Linked DNA regions of Macaca mulatta. The protein of the gene in region 1 purifies or fractionates together with the protein of each later gene. This does not show direct contact. Links are inferred from orthologs where the notes say so. Each region holds a gene or a part of one and is shown in the gene's direction. Other genes may lie near its edges.

The links.
Region 2: the proteins of HSF1 (region 1) and HSPBP1 purify together in Homo sapiens (affinity purification with mass spectrometry; 5 studies listed by BioGRID and IntAct, counting the BioPlex papers as one, with this or other methods). This does not show direct contact. The link is inferred for Macaca mulatta from reciprocal best matches to the Homo sapiens genes HSF1 and HSPBP1.
Region 3: the proteins of HSF1 (region 1) and HNRNPA2B1 purify together in Homo sapiens (affinity purification with mass spectrometry; 3 studies listed by BioGRID, with this or other methods). This does not show direct contact. The link is inferred for Macaca mulatta from reciprocal best matches to the Homo sapiens genes HSF1 and HNRNPA2B1.

What each region holds. Positions count from the first base shown.
Region 1 is NC_133413.1:154,683,152-154,689,187, forward strand, and holds the start of HSF1 (heat shock factor protein 1), read left to right. Parts: upstream 1-2,396; 5' UTR 2,397-2,411; coding exon 2,412-2,645; intron 2,646-3,743; exon of another isoform or gene 3,744-5,539; intron 5,540-6,036. Other genes in the region: ribosome biogenesis protein BOP1, read right to left, coding at 1,553-1,651. UniProt on the Homo sapiens protein: Functions as a stress-inducible and DNA-binding transcription factor that plays a central role in the transcriptional activation of the heat shock response (HSR), leading to the expression of a large class of molecular chaperones, heat shock proteins (HSPs), that protect cells from cellular insult damage.
Region 2 is NC_133424.1:67,615,056-67,621,173, reverse strand, and holds the start of HSPBP1 (hsp70-binding protein 1), read left to right. Parts: upstream 1-2,214; 5' UTR 2,215-2,357; coding exon 2,358-2,720; intron 2,721-3,136; exon of another isoform or gene 3,137-3,199; intron 3,200-4,680; exon of another isoform or gene 4,681-4,752; intron 4,753-6,118. UniProt on the Homo sapiens protein: Inhibits HSPA1A chaperone activity by changing the conformation of the ATP-binding domain of HSPA1A and interfering with ATP binding. Interferes with ubiquitination mediated by STUB1 and inhibits chaperone-assisted degradation of immature CFTR.
Region 3 is NC_133408.1:102,186,649-102,192,509, forward strand, and holds the start of HNRNPA2B1 (heterogeneous nuclear ribonucleoproteins A2/B1), read left to right. Parts: upstream 1-1,957; 5' UTR 1,958-2,111; coding exon 2,112-2,117; intron 2,118-4,860; coding exon 4,861-4,896; intron 4,897-4,994; coding exon 4,995-5,105; intron 5,106-5,266; coding exon 5,267-5,413; intron 5,414-5,707; coding exon 5,708-5,861. UniProt on the Homo sapiens protein: Heterogeneous nuclear ribonucleoprotein (hnRNP) that associates with nascent pre-mRNAs, packaging them into hnRNP particles.

The sequences.
Region 1 (6,036 bases):
CAGCCTGCCTAAGCCCTCTCCACACCTCACCCTGGCATCCAAGGCCCCAGAGTCATGAGGTCACTAGAAAAGGGGCTGGGGGCTGGAAGAGAACCGGGGTCCCCAAAGGGCTTTTACCACCTGCAGCAGAAGCCTCCTCATTTAACCAGATTGGGACCAACCATTGATCAGCAAAATGAAAGGACTGGCTGACGAGTCACAGGAATGACAGACTCCAATTGCAACCACACACCAACCCACCCATTCCTCTCTCTGAGCAGAGCCCTGCTGGCTGCGTGACACCAGCACACACAGTGTTTAGGTCCTTCACTGGCCTTAAAAAGTGGAACAAGAACTTAGACTCAGGAAGCAGCTGAAGGCCAGGGACAGTAGCTCATGCCTATAATCCCAACACTTTGGGAGGCCGAGGGGGGTGGATCACCTGAGGTCAGGAGTTCAAGACCAGCCTGGCCAACATGGTGAAACCATCTCTACTAAAAATACAAAAATAGCTGGTGGTGGCAGGTACCTGTAATCCCAGCTACTCAGGAGGCTGAGGTACCCGGGAGATGGAAGCTGCAGTGAGCCGAGATTGTGCCACTGCACTCCAGTCTGAGCAACAGAGCAAGGCTCTATCTCAAAAAAAAAAGAAAAGAAAAGAAAAGAAAGAAAAAGAAAAAGGAAAGAAAAGAAAATGGAAGCAGTTGAATGTAGAATTCTAGATTTTACTGCTTTCCTAATAGTTTACAAGTCTCACTTAAGGTACGACCTGGATGTATTAGCTATTGCATACTGAGTGTTCACACAATGCCTCTCTCACACAGTCATGATGTGTCTTGGTACTCAGTCAGCTACACAACCACAATAACTAGTGGAAATGGCATGCATGGCCTGAGCACAAACAACTGGCTCCTGAAGAGCATTTAACTCAAGGGTGCAAGCAGCAGAACCTGGCGCCTAGAGCGGCCTGCGGGCCGTTCAGCCCATGGGAACCAGGATTAGTTGAGTTCGCTTCACAAAGCAATGGGGCAGTTTCAACAACCCAACGCGGCCGAGGGGGCTGTGAGAGGCTGGCTGTCCATTCCCTCCACCACCCAATTTGACGATCCCCACAACCAAGACGGGGCTGAGCTGGCAGAGGGCAACAGTGAGTTCTGATACAACAAACGCAGCAGACTCTGGGTTCTATTCAGGTTTTCTTATTCTCACGTCTATCCCATGAGCATAAAAACGTGATTAACTAGCGCATAAGTAGGTTAAGCATTTACTGGGGGCGCAAGCCGAGCCCTTTTACTGGCAGGACGCACAAATGGAACGGCCGGAGAGGCTGCTGCAAGGGGCGCTTATCCCCACTCCCTGCACCCCCGTTTCTTTGCTTCCCGGACGCCGTCCTTCACCCTGCAGTCTGCTCTGCCTAAGACCCCCCGATAGAGGAGCTGCGCCCACGCCCAAGGCCGATTCACTGGGCACGGGCGCCCAGGTGACAGCAGCCGGGCCCACCCGCCCCAGCGCGGCCACGTGCCCGCTGGGCCTTCTAGGGACGCGCCTCGCCGCCCCGCATTGCCGCAGTCACCTCTGGCTCGGGCTCAGGCTCCAGTTCGGGCTCCGACCGCCGCTTCTCCGGCCGCACGCTTGGCGCCGCCGTGCGCCCCGTGCCCCGCGAACCCGCCATGTCCCGCCGCGCGCCGGCCGCGACCCGAACAGCCGCTTCCGGCAGTGACACGGCCGCGTGCGCAGGAGGACGCGCCCCGCCCAGCCCGGCCCCGATTGGCGGGCGGGGGGGGGGCGGGACCAACACGCGCAGGCGCGCGGCGGGGCCGGGGGCCGGGGCGGGGTCGGGGCCTGCGTGCTCGCGCCGGGGGGGGACGCGAGAGGGCGGCAGCGGCGGCGGCAGCGGCGGGAGCGCGCCCGTTGCAAGATGGCGGCGGCCATGCTGGGCCTTGGGGCTGTGTGTGCGCAGCGGGCGGCGGCTCGGCCCGGACGGCTGGCGCGGCAACGGCGTTAGCCCGGCCCTCGGCCCCTCTTCGCGGCCGCTCCCTCCGCCTATTCCCGCCTTGCCCGAGATGGATCTGCCCGTGGGCCCCGGTGCGGCGGGGCCCAGCAACGTCCCGGCCTTCCTGACCAAGCTGTGGACCCTCGTGAGCGACCCGGACACCGACGCGCTCATCTGCTGGAGCCCGGTGAGGGCAGCGCGCGGGCGCGGGGCCCGTGGGGACCGGGAGGGAGCAGGGCCGCGGTGGACGGCGCGGGAGGGCTGCGGGGAGGGGCCCTGCCACACCTCGGCTTACGCGCGGGGAGCCTGCCCTGCCCCCGCCAGGAAGGGCGGCGGGTCCCGAGCCTGCCCAAACGCAGAGCCTTAAGTTGGGAAAGCGGCTGCGAGACCCACACCCGATTGAACCGCTGCCCCAGCGAAGTTTCCCTGGGATGGGAGAATGGGGCGTCCCTTGCATCGGGCTTCTGCTAACTGTTGGGCGGTTGCGGAAGTGTCCGCGCTTAGGGCAAGCACCCGGCTTCGCCAGCGGACGCTGTGCTCCAGAGGACATCGGCGTCCCCGGGGGACGGCCTACGGGGTGCTGGGTCGGCAACTATTCGGAGAAAGTCAGGACTTGGCACGTGAAGCGGAGGGCGTCGCTGTAGTGGAAAAGGAAAGGCAGTGGAAACAGAAAGTAAGACGTCATGAAGCTTCAGGTTAATCTCAAGCCCGTTTCCGAATCCCAAATCTGGGTTTCCCAGGAGGAGTTTTGTTTTTCATTCCTTGTGGGGCGTCTTTACTCGTGTCTTTATCTTCAGTTGCCTGGCAGCAGGCTTGTTTACACGGTCCGACCCTGCAAGACCGGACAGCTCCGGTTTGCAGAAGTAAATCAGTGATTGTCTGGAGTTGGAGATCAAAATCTGCTGTTCACATCCCGGCTGTGACGTCGTGTCCGGTGAGGGGCAGAGCCACAGCCTGTGGCTGGCAAGTGATGGCCTGAAGAAAGGCCACACTGGCCGAGCGGGGTGACTCTTTGCTGTGAAAGCAGCACTTTGGGAGGTGGCGGCGGGTAGATCACTTGAGGCCAGGAGTTCGAGACCAGCCAAGACAATATGGCAAAACCCCGACTCTACTAAAAATACAAAAAATTAGCCGGGCGTGGTGGTGCTTGCCTGTGGTCCTAGCTACTTGGGAGGCTGAGATAGGAGGATCCCCTGAACCTGGGAGGCAGAGGTTGCACTGAACCGAGATTCCACCACTGCACTCCAGCCTGGCAAAGAATGAGACCCTGTCTTAAGAAAAAAAAGAAAAAAGAAAGGCCACTGATCACTGGGAGCTTTTGGAGGGACCGTGACAGGCGGGATGCCACCAAGCATGTGTGGCCTCCCAGGAGCTAAGACCCCAGAGTTCCTCAGGCTCTGCTGAGGGCCTCCCATTTGCACAGCCTCTTTCTGCTGTTAGGAATGAAGAAAAGTCTGAACTGAAGCTGCTCCAGGCAGGAGGCCAGGCCTTCTGCTTCTCGGGTTTACTGAGGCCCTGCTTTACCTACAGAGTGTTTGGGAATAAAGAGAGGACTGGAAATCTTTGCTCTTTTCAGAAACACTTTGTATTTGTCCTGCTGACACCTCTGTCTGTGTCGGCCTTCCCATCCCCAAGTCCCATTACGGCGCAGTGCGCCTTCCTGCAGGCTGACTTCATTTCACCATCTCTTCATTCTAGACCTTGGCATTTTTGTGCAGAGGAAGTATTCCCATGTTTCTGTTTTCTTTTATCCGTCTTTCGTTTTCTTTCTTTCTTTTTTTTTTTTTTTTTTTTTTTTTGAGACGGCTTCTCGCTCTGTCACCCAGGTTGGAGTGCAGTGGTGCGATCTTGTCTCACTACGACCTCCACCTCCCAGGTTCAAGCAATTCTCCTGCCTCAGCCTCCCGAGTAGCCAGGACTACAGATGCACGCCACCACACCTGGCTGATTGTTGTATTTTTAGTAGAGACGGGGTTTCACCACATCAGCCAGCCTGGTCTGGAACTCCTGACCTCAAGTTATCCACCTGCCTTGGCCTCCCTAAGTGCTGGGATTACAGGTGTGAGCCACTGCACCCAGCCCTTCCTTCTTTTTCTTATTCCCCTTAACCCTCAGAAGTACTCTCTTGCCCCATTGGGGGAGGGGCATCTGAGATTATCTGGGATATTCTAAGCTTAATCCTACTAGCATGATCTGTCCTGTCCCATAATCTGCTTGCTGTTTCTGCTTAAAAGATTATGAGGCATGTGGGTTAGGTCCCAGTGTACTCTTTTTTGAGACCGAGGCATGTTCTGGGCAGGGCTTTTGAGCAAGGGAGGCAGATTTGATGAGGCCTGTGGCCAGCCTCCACTCTCCTCACAGGTGCACCACCTGTGGGCCTGTTCTCCCTGGGGAGGGATGGGGAGCCGTGTGGAATGTCAGTGTTTGGTTCCACCTGGTCAGTATAAAGTGGCAATGGTTGGTGCAGGATGTAGCAGTGGGGGCGAGCATGGCAATGAGATAGAAACACTGACTTCAAACTGGAAGGAAGCCCTTCTCCAGACTGTGCAGGGAGCTGCAGAGCTTTCTGGCGCTGGCTGCGTGGCCTGGAGAAAGGAGGTGATCGTCCCATCCTGTGGCTTTGAGAGCACTCACACAAGCCCTGAGGACTCCATGTCGGCAGAGTCCCAACAGGGGACCCTCCCACAAATCTACTGCCCAGGCCCAGCTGGCTCTCGGAGGCCTTGAGAAGGCCCTGGTGCTCTTGCTCTCTGCTGCCTTCTCTGGGACAGTCTCCTGGCTCAAAGTCTTACCACCATTCTGCCAAGAAAAACCCTCCCTGTTTGACACAAGAAGATGAGGCAGAATCACAGGCATGGTGACTAATTCTCCAGGCTGAATAACTTGGGGGAGACTGAGGCCCAGAAACTGGCCAGTGACTTTACTGAGCCTGGCCAGGAATGGGACCAGCTCTGGACAACCATTGCACTTCCCCTCCCTGGCCTGAGATCGGGACTCCCACTGCAGCCACTGGAGGCAGAATGCCGGGTCACTGTCCAGGAGAGCCCATTTGGTGGGGACTATGGCCCCATCCCTGTGGTGTTCGATTTCCCACCCCCCAGACCCTCATTCCCATGAGCACCCCACCCACACAGGCAGAGGCCTTGAGGGGACCCAGCAAGTCGTGGAGGACAGCACAGCCCCATCTGCCTTGGAGAGGAAACGTGTCAGCCACAAGGTTATGATCCCGGGAGATCCACATAGGAGCATGGGCATGGACGTGGGTGGTCCTCCCTCAGCCAGCTTTTTAACAGCTTATCCCAAAGGTGTGCCTGGATCCAGTACCACTGAGACCCAAAGACGGGGTTGGGGGACTGAATACCTGGACTGACAGGCAGCTCCATAGAACTGAGACCCGTGAGACCAGGGACCCGCAGCCTCCCTGCCCCGTGCCCTGGTGCCAGCCCTCAGCCCAGCTTCCTCCTCTGCATGCAGCAGCTCCTCTGTCCACCAGCGGAGGCTCTTCTAGGGCCTTGCTGGGTGCAGCTGACTCAGGAGGGCAGCAGCCTCTTCGGAGAATTTGACAGCGTGGAGACCCAAACAGAAGCAGAAAGTGAAGCCTCAGAACTGGGTTCACCATCATCTCAGTTTTTTACAAGCTATGATTTTGTCCCACCTTTATTAACAAAATAAGGAAGTATGAAAAGTAATCTTGACATCCGAGATGGTGAGATTACGGATTTTTTTTTTTTTTTTTTTTGAGATGGAGTTGCCCAGGCTGGAGTACAATGACACGATCTCGGCTCACTTTAACCTCTGTCTCCGGGGTTCAAGTGATTCTCCTGCTTCAGCCTCCTGAGTATGGGATTACAGGCACCCACCACGACACCCGACTAATTTTTTTTGTATTTTTAGTAGAGACAGGGTTTCACCATGTTTGTCAGGCTGGGCTAGTACTCCTGACCTTGTGATCCGCCTGCCTCAGTCTCTCAAAGTGCTGGGATTACAGATGTGAGCCACTGTACCCAGCCCAGATAATTTTTATAGTTATATTTTTCTAAAATACTTTTTTAAAAAAATGAACA
Region 2 (6,118 bases), on another chromosome or scaffold:
GGCTCTGTAACTATTAACAGGAGGGATCTGCCTCCTGGTTCTGGAGGCATTAATGGGTCCCTTTTTGCTCTCAAATGTCTTGCTGTAGATGAAAAATTATATGATTACCCTCTTTTTATTTTGTTTTGTTTTGTTTTTTTGAGACAGGGTCTTCCCCCTGTTGCCCAGGCTGGGGTGCAGTGGGGCAATCATAGGTCCCTGCAGCCTCGTCCTCCCGGGCTCAAGTGATCCTCCTGCCTCAGCCTCCTGCATAGCTGTGACTATAGGCAGATGCCATCACACATGGCTAATTCTTGTATTTTTTTGTAGGGATGCGGTCACACTATGTTGCCCAGGCTGGTCTCGAACTCTTGGGTTCAAGTGATCCTCCCACCTTGGCCTCCCAAAGTATTGAGATTATAGACCTGAGCCACTGCCCTCGGCCATGTATTATAAACTGATAGACGTGTACATAGATGTCCGCATCCTAATTCCCAGGATCTGTGCATAGGTTACCTTGCATGGCTGAAGGGACTTTGCCCATGTGACTGAGATAGGGAGATTATCCCAGTTATTTGGGTGAGCTCGATGGAATCACAAGAGTATTTGTGAGAAGGAGGCAGGAGGAGCAGTCAGTGATGGAGACGGGAAGATGGAAGCAGAGCTTGGGGTGATGGGGCCACCTGTCAAAGAACGAGTGTGGCCTCTAGAAGCTGGAAAAGGCAAGAAAAACATTCTCCCCGAGAGCCTCCAGAAGCGATGCAATCCTGCTGACAGTTTGATTTCAGTTCTGTGAAACCCATTTTGGATTTCTGCCCTCCAAAACTGCAAGATAATAAATGTGTGCTGTTTTAAGCCACCACATTTTTAGTAATTTGTTAACAGCAGCAATAGGAAACTAATATAATAGCACATCCACAGGCCCAGACGCATCTCACAACACAGTGCTGGAAACACCATACACACACACACACATACACACACACACACACACACACACACACAGCCTATCTGTTGGGTCTTCCTGTTTCTGCCCAAAATATCCCCTTGCACAACCACACCCAGCAGGTGCTCGATACGTTTGTGACTGCGTGCCCGTTTTGCGTTGAGCACAACCTTTTCCTGGGGGAAAACGCCTCCTATCCAGCACCAACATGAGACTTTCTTTAAGCCCAGTACAGGGCCAACACCTCTGCAGACTGGGGCCGCATCAGCACGTGCCCAGGCCTAAACCCCACTTCTGGAGCACGGAGGCCTCGGGCCTCCCCACCAAGCTGGCTCCTCTGGCGCTCTGAATCTTGCTGGGCTCTGGGGCACTTTGCTTTCCGGCTCCAGGTCTCAAGAATCCTCTCCTCTCCACCTGGCAGGACATGGGGAAGAGTCCATGAGCGAGAGGCTGGGTGATGAGACGGGTCCATGCCGCAGCTCCATTTGACAGATGGAGAAACTGAGGCCGAGAGAGGGGTTGCCGGGGACCCAAGGCTCACAGGCCAGCCATCACAGTTGCGGCCCCAGGGCTCCAGTAGATGGGGTGGTGGCCCCGGTGGAAGCGAAAGTCAGATTAGGGGGGCGAGGCCCCAAACCTTCTAAGGATGACCCACAGCAATGAGTGGGAGGGGCCTGGAAAGGGGGCGGGGCCTAACTGGGAGAGGCTGAAACACCTAGAACAGGGGCGGGAATAGTAGTGTGGGCGGGGTCAGACCTGGGGGCGGGGAACATATTAGAACAGGGGTGGAGCTTGCAATAAAGATCGGGGGCGGGACTCGCTGAAGTGCGAAAACTGGGCCAGGGGCGGAGCTTTGACCAGCGACTTGAGCGTGAAGGGGCGGGGCCCGCACGAAGGTGCGTCCTAGCTTGGAGGCGGGGCCTGGATGGGAGGGGCGGGGCCGAGGGCAGTATCTGGCCAGGTGAGAAGAGAATAATAGTCTGGCAAGCAGCTTCAGCGGCATCCACGGCACGAAGTTGGGTGGCTACGCCAAGCACTTCCGGGTGAAACCGTGCGTATTTCCGGTTAAGATGGCGGCGCCCAGTAGAGTCAGGTGCGGACGACTTTGTCCGTAGGAGCAGCGGCGGCTTGAGGACCCGGGGAGGTGAGATCCGCCCTATTCCGGCGCCCCTCTTCGGAGAGGAGGGAGAAGACTTGTTGCTAAGGAGACCAAAGGGCGGGCTTGTTGCTACGGAGGCGGGGCAGTGAGGTTGCTAAGAGACGGGACGCACGCATTGGAGATGGGGAAGGGGGGTTGTTGCCAGGGAGAGTGGGTGGGGCGTGTTGCTAGGGAGAAAGGAGGGGCTTATGACTTTGGGGAAGGGTCCTGTGGGTATGAAGGAAGGAAAAGGGGCTGTGGTTGAGTGGGCTGGGGACAGAGTCGTTTGGGGTCATGGGGGGGCGCCGAGCTCCCCTAAAACGCCACCTTCTCAGCAGACCCTCAAGAATCGACCCATCAGGACGCCAGAGCTGCTTCAGCGGTGACCACCTTCTCCCCCTAACACGTTCTTCCCTTCTTCACAAACGGCCCATGTCAGACGAAGGCTCAAGAGGCAGCCGCCTGCCCCTGGCGCTGCCCCCGGCCTCCCAGGGTTGCTCTTCAGGGGGCGGCGGCGGCGGCGGCGGCGGCGGCTCCTCCTCGGCTGGGGGCTCGGGCAATTCCCGGCCCCCACGCAACCTCCAAGGCTTGCTGCAGATGGCCATCACCGCGGGCTCTGAAGAGCCAGACCCTCCTCCAGAACCCATGAGTGAGGAGGTAAAAGATGGGGACCCAAGAAGCTGGGGTGAGGGGCCTGGAGACAGATAGAGGTGCCTTGGGAAGTGTGACTTGGGGAGCCACAAGAAGACTAGGGTCTTCTTGGGTGGGTGGCAGGAGTCCAGGTGTGGAGGCATTGTAGGCTATAATTTGTGCTAGATGGGGTCGTTGTTGACTGAAGGTCAGATCTCAAGAGAGTCTGGGGGGACATATCCTCTCCAGAGCCAGACCGACCTGGATCCAGCATTGTCCAGCTGTGTGACCTTGGATATATTACTTCATCTTTCTGAGTCTCAAGTTCTTCATTTACAAATTGATAATAATAATAACTACGGTATAGGGTAGTTCTGAGGTTCTACTTTAAGTAGGGCTGCACACAGTGTCCAGCATACAGGCAGTGCTTCTGAAGACAGCAGTATGTTTTCATGAAGAGCACAGGCTCTGTAGTCGGACTGCTTGTTTTTTTTTTTTTTTTTTTGGTGGGGGGTAGGGGTGGGGGACACAGTCTCGGTTGGAGTGCAGAGGCGCAATCTTGGCTCACTGCAACCGCTGCCTTCCCGGTTCAAACAATTATCGTGCCTCAGCCTCCCTAGTAGCTGGGATTAGAGGCATGGGCCACCATGCCTGGCTAGTTTTCATATTTTTAGTAGAGAAGGGGTTTCACTATATTGGCCAGGCTGGTCTCGAACTCCCGGCCTCAAGTGATCCATCTGCCTCAGCCTCCCAAAGTGGTGAGATTACAGATGTGAGCCGCCACGCCCAGCCTAGACTGCTTGGGTTTGATTTCAGGCTTTGTCAATTGCTGACTGTGTGACCTTGGGTAAGTCTCAACCTTTCTGTGACTCAACTTTCTCGTCTGTGAAGTGGGGATAACAATAATACATATACCTCATAGAGTTGTTTTGCAGATTAATAGGAATAGTTATTATATATAATGTTTAATTGGCAATTACTGTATACAGAGCATTATGCTAACCCACTTACGTACATGACGTCATTGAACCTTTACGACAGTGAGGCATGAAACAGGCACAGAAACATTAAATAGCTCACTCAAATTTACTTAGAACTGTGACTAAGGAGACCTCTGCTCCCCTCCCTCACCCCCCAAAATTCCAGCAGTCACTTATTAGCGCTCATCTCCTTTTTCTTTGAGATAGAGTCTCACTCTGTTGCCCCGGCTGGAGTGCAGTGGTATGATCTCAGCTCATGCAACCTCTGTCTCTCAGGTTCAGGCAATTCCCTTTGCCTCAGCCTCCCGAGTAGCTGGGATTACAGGCACACGCCACCACGGCTGGCTAATTTTTGTATTTTTAGTAGAGACGGGGTTTCACCCTGTTGGCCATTCTGGTCTCGAACTCCTGACCTCAAGGCGATCGGCCCGCCTCAGCTTCCCAAAGTGCTCGATTACAGGCGTGAGCCACCGTGCCCGGCCTCATATTGTTGTAAGGCTTTATTCTGACAAATCTCAAATTTATATCTCTAGGCCAGTGATCCTTCACTGGGGGTGATTTTTATTCCCCAGGGGACAATTGGTGTGGAAACATTCTTGGTTGTCACAACTGGAGGAAGGGGGATACCGGCATCCAGTGCGTGAAGGCCAGGGATGCTGCTCAGCATCCTGTGGTTCACGGGACGGTCACACCACGGAGAACTATCCAGCTCAAAGTGTCAGTAAAGCTGAAGTTGGGAAATCCTGGTCCGGGCTGCACCTCCGCCTGGGCTTCAGGCAGCTTCCTCAGTCTTTTGCCTTGGGTGTGTAATAGATCCCTCAAATTTGACACATTTGAAAATGAGCTGAAATCCCTGCTCTTCCCACCCCAAACCTGCTTTTCCCACCATTTCCCCATCTTTTCCTGGTTGCTCAGAACAGAGACCTCGGAGTCATCCTTGACCTCTCTTTCTGTCACACCTCGTATCTCACTAAATCAAACGGGCTCTCTTTTCAAAGTCAGTCCAGGGTCTGACCGTTTCTCCCCACTCCTCTCTCCTTCCCGCTCCACACCACCTTCTCTCCTGCCTGCTCCCAGCCGTAGCCTCCTGTTTCATATTCCTGCACCTGCCGTTGCCCCTCCTCCATCTGTTCTCAATCAACAGCAATGCAGGTGTCCCCACTCCTCTGCTTAGAGCCCTCCGGCAGCTCCCACACCTATTCAGAGGGAAATCCCAGGTTTTTACAAAAGTTTGCAAGACCTGATAATCACCTGCTCCCCTCCCCTCTCCCTTTCTCCTTGCTCACTCTGCCTCCACCACACTGGCCTCCTGGTGGTGCCCTCTGCCTGCAACCACTTCTAGATGTGGCCTGGCTCAGTCCCTCACCTACTGCTTTTCTCGCAAGTCGCCTCCCTGGGACCCTCAATGACCAACCCATTTCTTTTTCTTTTCTTTTTTTTTAGAGACAAGGTCTCACTCACTGCAGCCTTAAATTCCTAGGCTCCAGCCATCCACTCCACTCAGCTTTCTGAGTAACTGGGACCACAGGCATGCACCACCATGCCCAGCTAATTTAAAACTTTTTTTGTGGCCGGGCGCGGTGGCTCAAGCCTGTAATCCCAGCACTTTGGGAGGCCGAGACGGGCGGATCACGAGGTCAGGAGTTCGAGACCATCCTGGCTAACACGGTGAAACCCCGTCTCTACTAAAAAAAAAAAAAAAATACAAAAAACTAGCCGGGCGAGGTGGCGGGCGCCTGTAGTCCCGGCTACTCGGGAGGCTGAGGCAGGAGAATGGCGTAAAAACCCGGGAGGCAGAGCTTGCAGTGAGCTGAGATCCGGCCACTGCACTCCAGCCTGGGCGACACAGCGAGACTCCGTCTCAAAAAAAAAAAAACTTTTTTTGTGTGGAGATGGGGTATCGCCATGTTACCCAGGCTGCTCTTAAATTCCTGGGCTCAAGTGATCCTCCTGCCTCAGCCTCCCAAAGTGCTGGTATTACAGGTGTGAGTCATCGCACCCGGCCCCGACCTGTTTAATTCTGCAGCCGCAGTTCGGCACTCCAGATCCCCCACTGTGCTTAATCTTACTTACCCCAGGACGCTTATAATCTCACCATGTCAAATGCTACACTTTTGCTTATTTTCTTTATTGACTGTTCTTCAACCTGAATGTGAGCCCCACCCCCAGGGTAGGAGTTTCTGTCTGGCCCAGGGCTGCCTTTAGTACCTAGAAAAGTGTCTGTGAAAAAATAGATGTTCAGTGGATTCTGTCGCCCCGGCTAGAGTACAATATTGCAATCTCGGTTCACCTCAACCTCTGCCTCCCAGGTTCAAGTGATTCTCGTGCCTCAGCCTCCGGAGTAGCTGTGACCACAGGCTCGGACCATCATGCCCGGCTAACTTTTTGTAGTTTAGTAGAGATGGGGTTTCACCGTGTTGCCCAGGCTGGTCTCAAACTCCTGAG
Region 3 (5,861 bases), on another chromosome or scaffold:
CCATTTTTAAAGGACAATCCTTTCGGTTTAAAACCATGCACGATTACCCAAACAACTCACAACTGTAAACCCCTGTGAATCTTCTCTGTTCTGCAATCCTAAGTTTGTTTCTGCTCAGAAACCCTCTCTTTTTCCAATCAGCAGTTAACTAACTAAAGGAAAAAACTTAACGATGCTTCAACCCCGTTTCGTGACACTTTGAAGACGCAATCACCTTTTGCACACACCCGCTCCCCCTCCGCCTCCGACCCTCTCCGCTGGAGCTCTGCGTCCCGAGGCCTAAGCGCAGCTGCCCGCCCCCACCCGGGAGCGCGGGCCTCGTGGTCAGCACATCCGCAGGGAGAAACAAAGGCCGCGGCGCGGGGGCTCAAGGGCACTGCGCCACACGGCACGCGCCTACCCCCCGCGGCGGCCACGTTAACGGGACGGCCGCCGCAACCTCGGGACAGTCGGCCGCACGCCGCCAGGCCTCGCGGACACGGGACCACGCGCCGCCCTCCCGGAGGCCCAAGTCTCGACCCAGCCCCGCGTGGCGGCTGGGGGAGGGGGCGCCTCCGCCGGAACGCTGGTGGGGGAGGGGAGGGAAAATGCGCTTTGTCTCGAAATAGGGCGACCGTCGCCACAGCTCCCTACCCCCTCGAGGACCGAACAGTCCCCCCACTAACTGCCGGCGCCGGCCCCGAGCCAGGTCAGCCGCGAGGCCACCGCCCGACCCTCTCCACTCCTTCCCGCAGCTCCCGGCGCGGTGTCCGGCAAGGAAGGGAGGGGAGCGGAGAACCGGGCCCCCGGGGCGCGTGCAGCATCTGATGCACCACCACCGAGCGAGGGCTAGAGAGAAGGAAAACCACCGACTTCACCGCCTCTGAGCTGCTCCGGGTCGCGGGTCTGCAGCGTCTCCGGCCTTGCGCGCCTACAGCTCGAGCCACATCCGAGGGGGGAGGGAGCCGGGAGCTGTGCGCGGGGCCGCCGGGGGGGGGGGAGGGGTGGCACCGCCCACGCCGGGCGGCCACGAAGGGCGGGGCAGCGGGCGCGCGCCCGGCGGGGGGGAGGGGCCGCGCGCCGCACCCGCTGGGAATTGGGGCCCTAGGGGGAGGGCGGCTGCGAAGACCGCGGCACTTACCGTTCGCCCCGTGGCGCCTGGTGGTCCCCAAGGGGAGGGAGGGGGGAGGAGGGGCGAGGACGGTAACCGGAGTCTCCTCAGCGGTGGCTTTTCTGCTTTGCAGCCTCAGTGCTGGCGCCAAAACCGGACTCCGCCCACTTCCTCGCCCCTGCGGTGCGAGGGTGCGGAATCCTCCAAACGCTTGGGGAGAGAGAGTTGGGAGCTTAAAAACTAGTACCCCTTTGGGACCACTTTCAGCAGAGACCCCTCCTGTACCCCAGGGGTCAGCTGCATAGACGCGGGTCAGGGTTAGGTCAGTGTGGCGTGAACGATAATTTGACTAGAAGTTGATTCGGGTGTTTCCGGAAGGGGCCGAGTCAATCCGCCGAGTTGGGACACGGAGAACGAAAAGGGAAGGCTCATATTATACTACGATTTTTCTGGCGGGGGTTATCAAAGGCGTAGCTGCAGGGACCACCTCCCAGGTTGAGAGGGCTGGAACTCCGGGCTCCGGATTAAGCTCCTCCCGTCAGCGTTAATTTCAAACTGCGCGACCGTTTCTCACCTGCCTTGCGCCAAGGCGGGGGGCGGGACCCTATTCCGAGAGGTAGTAACTCGCGGGACTCGAGCCTTCCGCAATTCACTGAGCGCATTTACGGAAGTAGCGTCGGGCACTGTCGCTGGCCACAGGAGGGGGAGGAGTACGCATTTGGCGTAAGGAGGGGCGTAGAGCCTTCCCGCCATTGGCGGCGGTTAGGGCGTTTACGCAACGGCCTGACGTAGAGGAAGACGCGTTAGTGGGGGGGAAGGTTCTAGAAAAGCGGCGGCAGCGGCTCTAGCGGCAGTAGCAGCAGCGCCGGGTCCCGTGCGGAGGTACTCCTAGCGGTGTTGTTTCTCGAGCAGCGGCAGTTCTCACTACAGCGCCAGGACGAGTCCGGTTCGTGTTCGTCCGCGGAGATCTCTCTCATCTCGCTCGGCTGCGGGAAATCGGGCTGAAGCGACTGAGTCCGCGATGGAGGTAACGGGTTTGAAATCAATGAGTTATTGGAAAGGGCATGGCGAGGCCGTTGGCCCCCTTGTGGAAGTCGGCCGGCCGCCTCCGTGGGAGAGCGGCAGGAAATCGGACCGCTTCAGTAGCAGTGGGGCTTGAGGTTTATGAACGGGGTCTTGACCGGAGGCCTGAGCGTACAAACAAGCTTCCCCACCCTCGGCCTCCCGGCGCCATTTCCCTTCACTGGGGGTGGGGGATGGGGAGCTTTCACATGGCGGACGCTGCCCCGCTGGAGTGAAAGTGGGGCGCGGAGGCGGGAATTCTTATTCCCTTTTTAAAGCACGGTGCTTCGGGGGCCACGGCGTCTCCGCGGCGAGTGTTGCGGCGGGCAGCGGGTCCCCGTGAGCGAGGCTGCGGAGCTTCCCCTCCCCCTCTCTCCCGGGAACCGGATTTGGCGGCCGCCATTTTCATGGCTCGCCTTCCTCTCAGCGTTTTTCTTTTAATTCTCTTATTCTTTTAGTGTGCTTTCTCTGTCAAGGCATAGAAGTGGTTAACTATTTTTCTTTCTTCTCGGGCTCTTTTCATATCGTTTCGAGGTGGATTTGGAGTGTTTTGTGAGCTTGGATCTTTAGAGTCCTGCGCACCTCATTAAAGGCGCTCAGCCTTCCCCTCGATGAAATGGCGCCATTGCGTTCGGAAGCCACACCGAAGAGCGGGCGGGGGGGTGCTCCGGGTTTGCGGGCCCGGTTTCAGAGAAGATACCACCACCCAGGGCGTCGGGCCGGGTTTAATGCGAGCCATAGGACAAAGAAACCGTTTTGTAGTTTTCCTGTTTTTTAAATTTATTTGAGTAACGGATATATTTGGGTCTGCAGTCACTAAAACGGCAGATGAACAGCAGCAAAAATAAACACTTTGGAAGCCATCGGCCACGAGGGGCAGGGACGAGGATGGTTTTCTGGGCGGGGGAGGGATATTCGCGTCAGAAGCCTTTACTGTTCTTAAGGATTCCGCTTAAGTTGTAAAGCCGACTCGTATTTTAAGTAATGTTTTTCCTGAGAAGTTTAATCCTTACGGGACAGTTCCATGGATCATTATAGATGATTAGTTAGAAATTACGAGGAAAGCGAAATCACGATTTTATCCTTAGTTGTACTTCGGTTAAAACATGGCTTCAGAGGCTCTTTCCTGTAATGCGTGTGTATTTTTGTGCAAAATTGTTTTGGGCCTGGGCCGCTCTGTATTTGAACTTTGTTACTTTTCTCATTTATGTTTGCAATCTTGGTTGAACATTACATTGATAAGCATAAGGTCTCAAGCGAAGGGGGTCTACCTGGTTATTTTCTTTGACCCTAAGCACGTTTATAAAATAACATTGTTTAAAATCGATAGTGGACATCGGGTAAGTTTGGAAAAATTGTGAGGTAAGTAATGAGTTTTTGCTTTTTGTTAGTGATCTGTAAGACTTGTTATAAATGTACATTATCGGTAATTTCAGTTTAGAGACACCTATGTGCTGACGACAATTAAGAAAAAACTAATTGAGAAAATGAAAATATCTATTTTGGCAAGTAACCATTTCAAGACTGCGTTGTGTCTCATAGGAAGTAGTTTAATCATTTCGGTTAATGTTTTTTTTTTTTTAATTTTTACCAGTCCTGAAAACAATTACAGGAAAAAATCCGAACTGGCATTTACCACTATTTTTTTTTTAGCAGTTGGGAGCATGTGAATGGAGGGAGAGAGCTCTGTAGAACTGGGCTGAGAGCAGCAATTCTTCTTGCTAGGAACAAAAAATAATTCTTCATTCAAAATTACTTGTGACTTTTTAGTGTGCATTATGCATTCGTAGTAGTTGGTCCTGGATATCACTTCCTCTCGTTTAATTTTTTTTTTTTTAACGTAGTTACCTTTTAAGACAGGTTTACTTAACATTCTTAACTGCCCAAAATACAGGGTTGTATAATACGACATATTTGCTTGTTTGCAGGTATTAAAGATTTCAACTCTGAGGTTTTTCCTATTGAGTTAGAAAATTGTTTCGTGCCGTGTCGCTTGCCACATGGCCAATCAAGTTCAGTAAGCTTCAGCTTTCAGTAATAGTTAGCTTAGAGATTATGCCAGGTGAATGTATTTTATTGTACATAAGGTTAAGCTGAGTAATTCATATTCTGTATTGTCATATCCTGTATAGACAGTGTCCACCAAAAACCTGTTAAAACTTTTAAGATTTGAGTGCTGCTGGTCATAAAAATGAATTTGTCCTGGTTTTAAGTAATTTTTAAGGTTATTGCTAATGCATATCATGATTTTAAATATTTTTGTCAGAGTCATAGGGAGAAACAGTATTTTAAAAAGTTTTTTTTTGGCTAATATACTTAGAATCACCACCAGAGGGGGCAGTTAAGGGAAAATGTTACTGAATCGTGAAATAAAAACTTTGGGTCATAACCATCGAACCAAAAGTTATTTTCTGATGTTTATAAATAGAAATCTGGGTTTTTAGGTTATAGGGTTGAAATTTTTGGTAAAGATTTAGTAATCTTTTGATAACCACGGTCTACATTTGTTCATTTCTCCTTAGAAATTTTTTAAATTAAGTAATAATACATTTGTTTAAGATAATTTAATGTTGAGTAAATTTAGATCAAGCATTAATGACTTTGAAACTTGTGTAGATCAGCTGAGGCAATTTTTTTGGTGTAACACAACTAATATGCAGTTTAACATATGGTTTAAATTTGATGTAAGTTTTTTTTTTCCCCCCCAGAAAACTTTAGAAACTGTTCCTTTGGAGAGGAAAAAGGTACTCTGCCAGCAGGTCACCTCATATTTAAGAATTTAATTTCCTGCATACAAAGAGGAAAATGTAAATAAAAATTGAAATGGTATTTTCCTTTGCAGAGAGAAAAGGAACAGTTCCGTAAGCTCTTTATTGGTGGCTTAAGCTTTGAAACCACAGAAGAAAGTTTGAGGAACTATTACGAACAATGGGGAAAGCTTACAGACTGTGTGGTACGTAAGTTACTGAATTGTTACTGTATGTTAGTATCGTAGCTGTTTAAGTGAATCATGGAGGAAGTAACTATATCAGCATAGTAAATTCTATTATAATGACTGTTTACTTATAAGTTATAATGAGATTAAATGCTAAAGTTTGCTCTTTGGTTTGAAAGGTAATGAGGGATCCTGCAAGCAAAAGATCAAGAGGATTTGGTTTTGTAACTTTCTCATCCATGGCTGAGGTTGATGCTGCCATGGCTGCAAGACCTCATTCAATTGATGGGAGAGTAGTTGAGCCAAAACGTGCTGTAGCAAGAGAGGTAAGCAAACCATGACTGTCTTGTGCAATTAACATAAAGAATGCTGCCTTGCTGAACATCGGAAAGTATTTCTGAATTTAGATTTAACTCAAGATTTTATTAAAGCTCTGTTGGGTTTTTGGACCATTTTCTGAAGCTAACTTATTTGTCAAAAGCTAGGTCCCTAAAAGCTGTTGTTGTAGATCTGGTAGTTTTAAGGTGGATACAAGCCAAGTATGGTACAAAGGTTGGCTACTTTGAATCATGCTTGTGTTTTTTTCTGTCGGGATGACTTTTACCCCACCAATATTTTAGGAATCTGGAAAACCAGGGGCTCATGTAACTGTGAAGAAGCTGTTTGTTGGCGGAATTAAAGAAGATACTGAGGAACATCACCTTAGAGATTACTTTGAGGAATATGGAAAAATTGATACCATTGAGATAATTACTGATAGACAGTCTGGAAAGA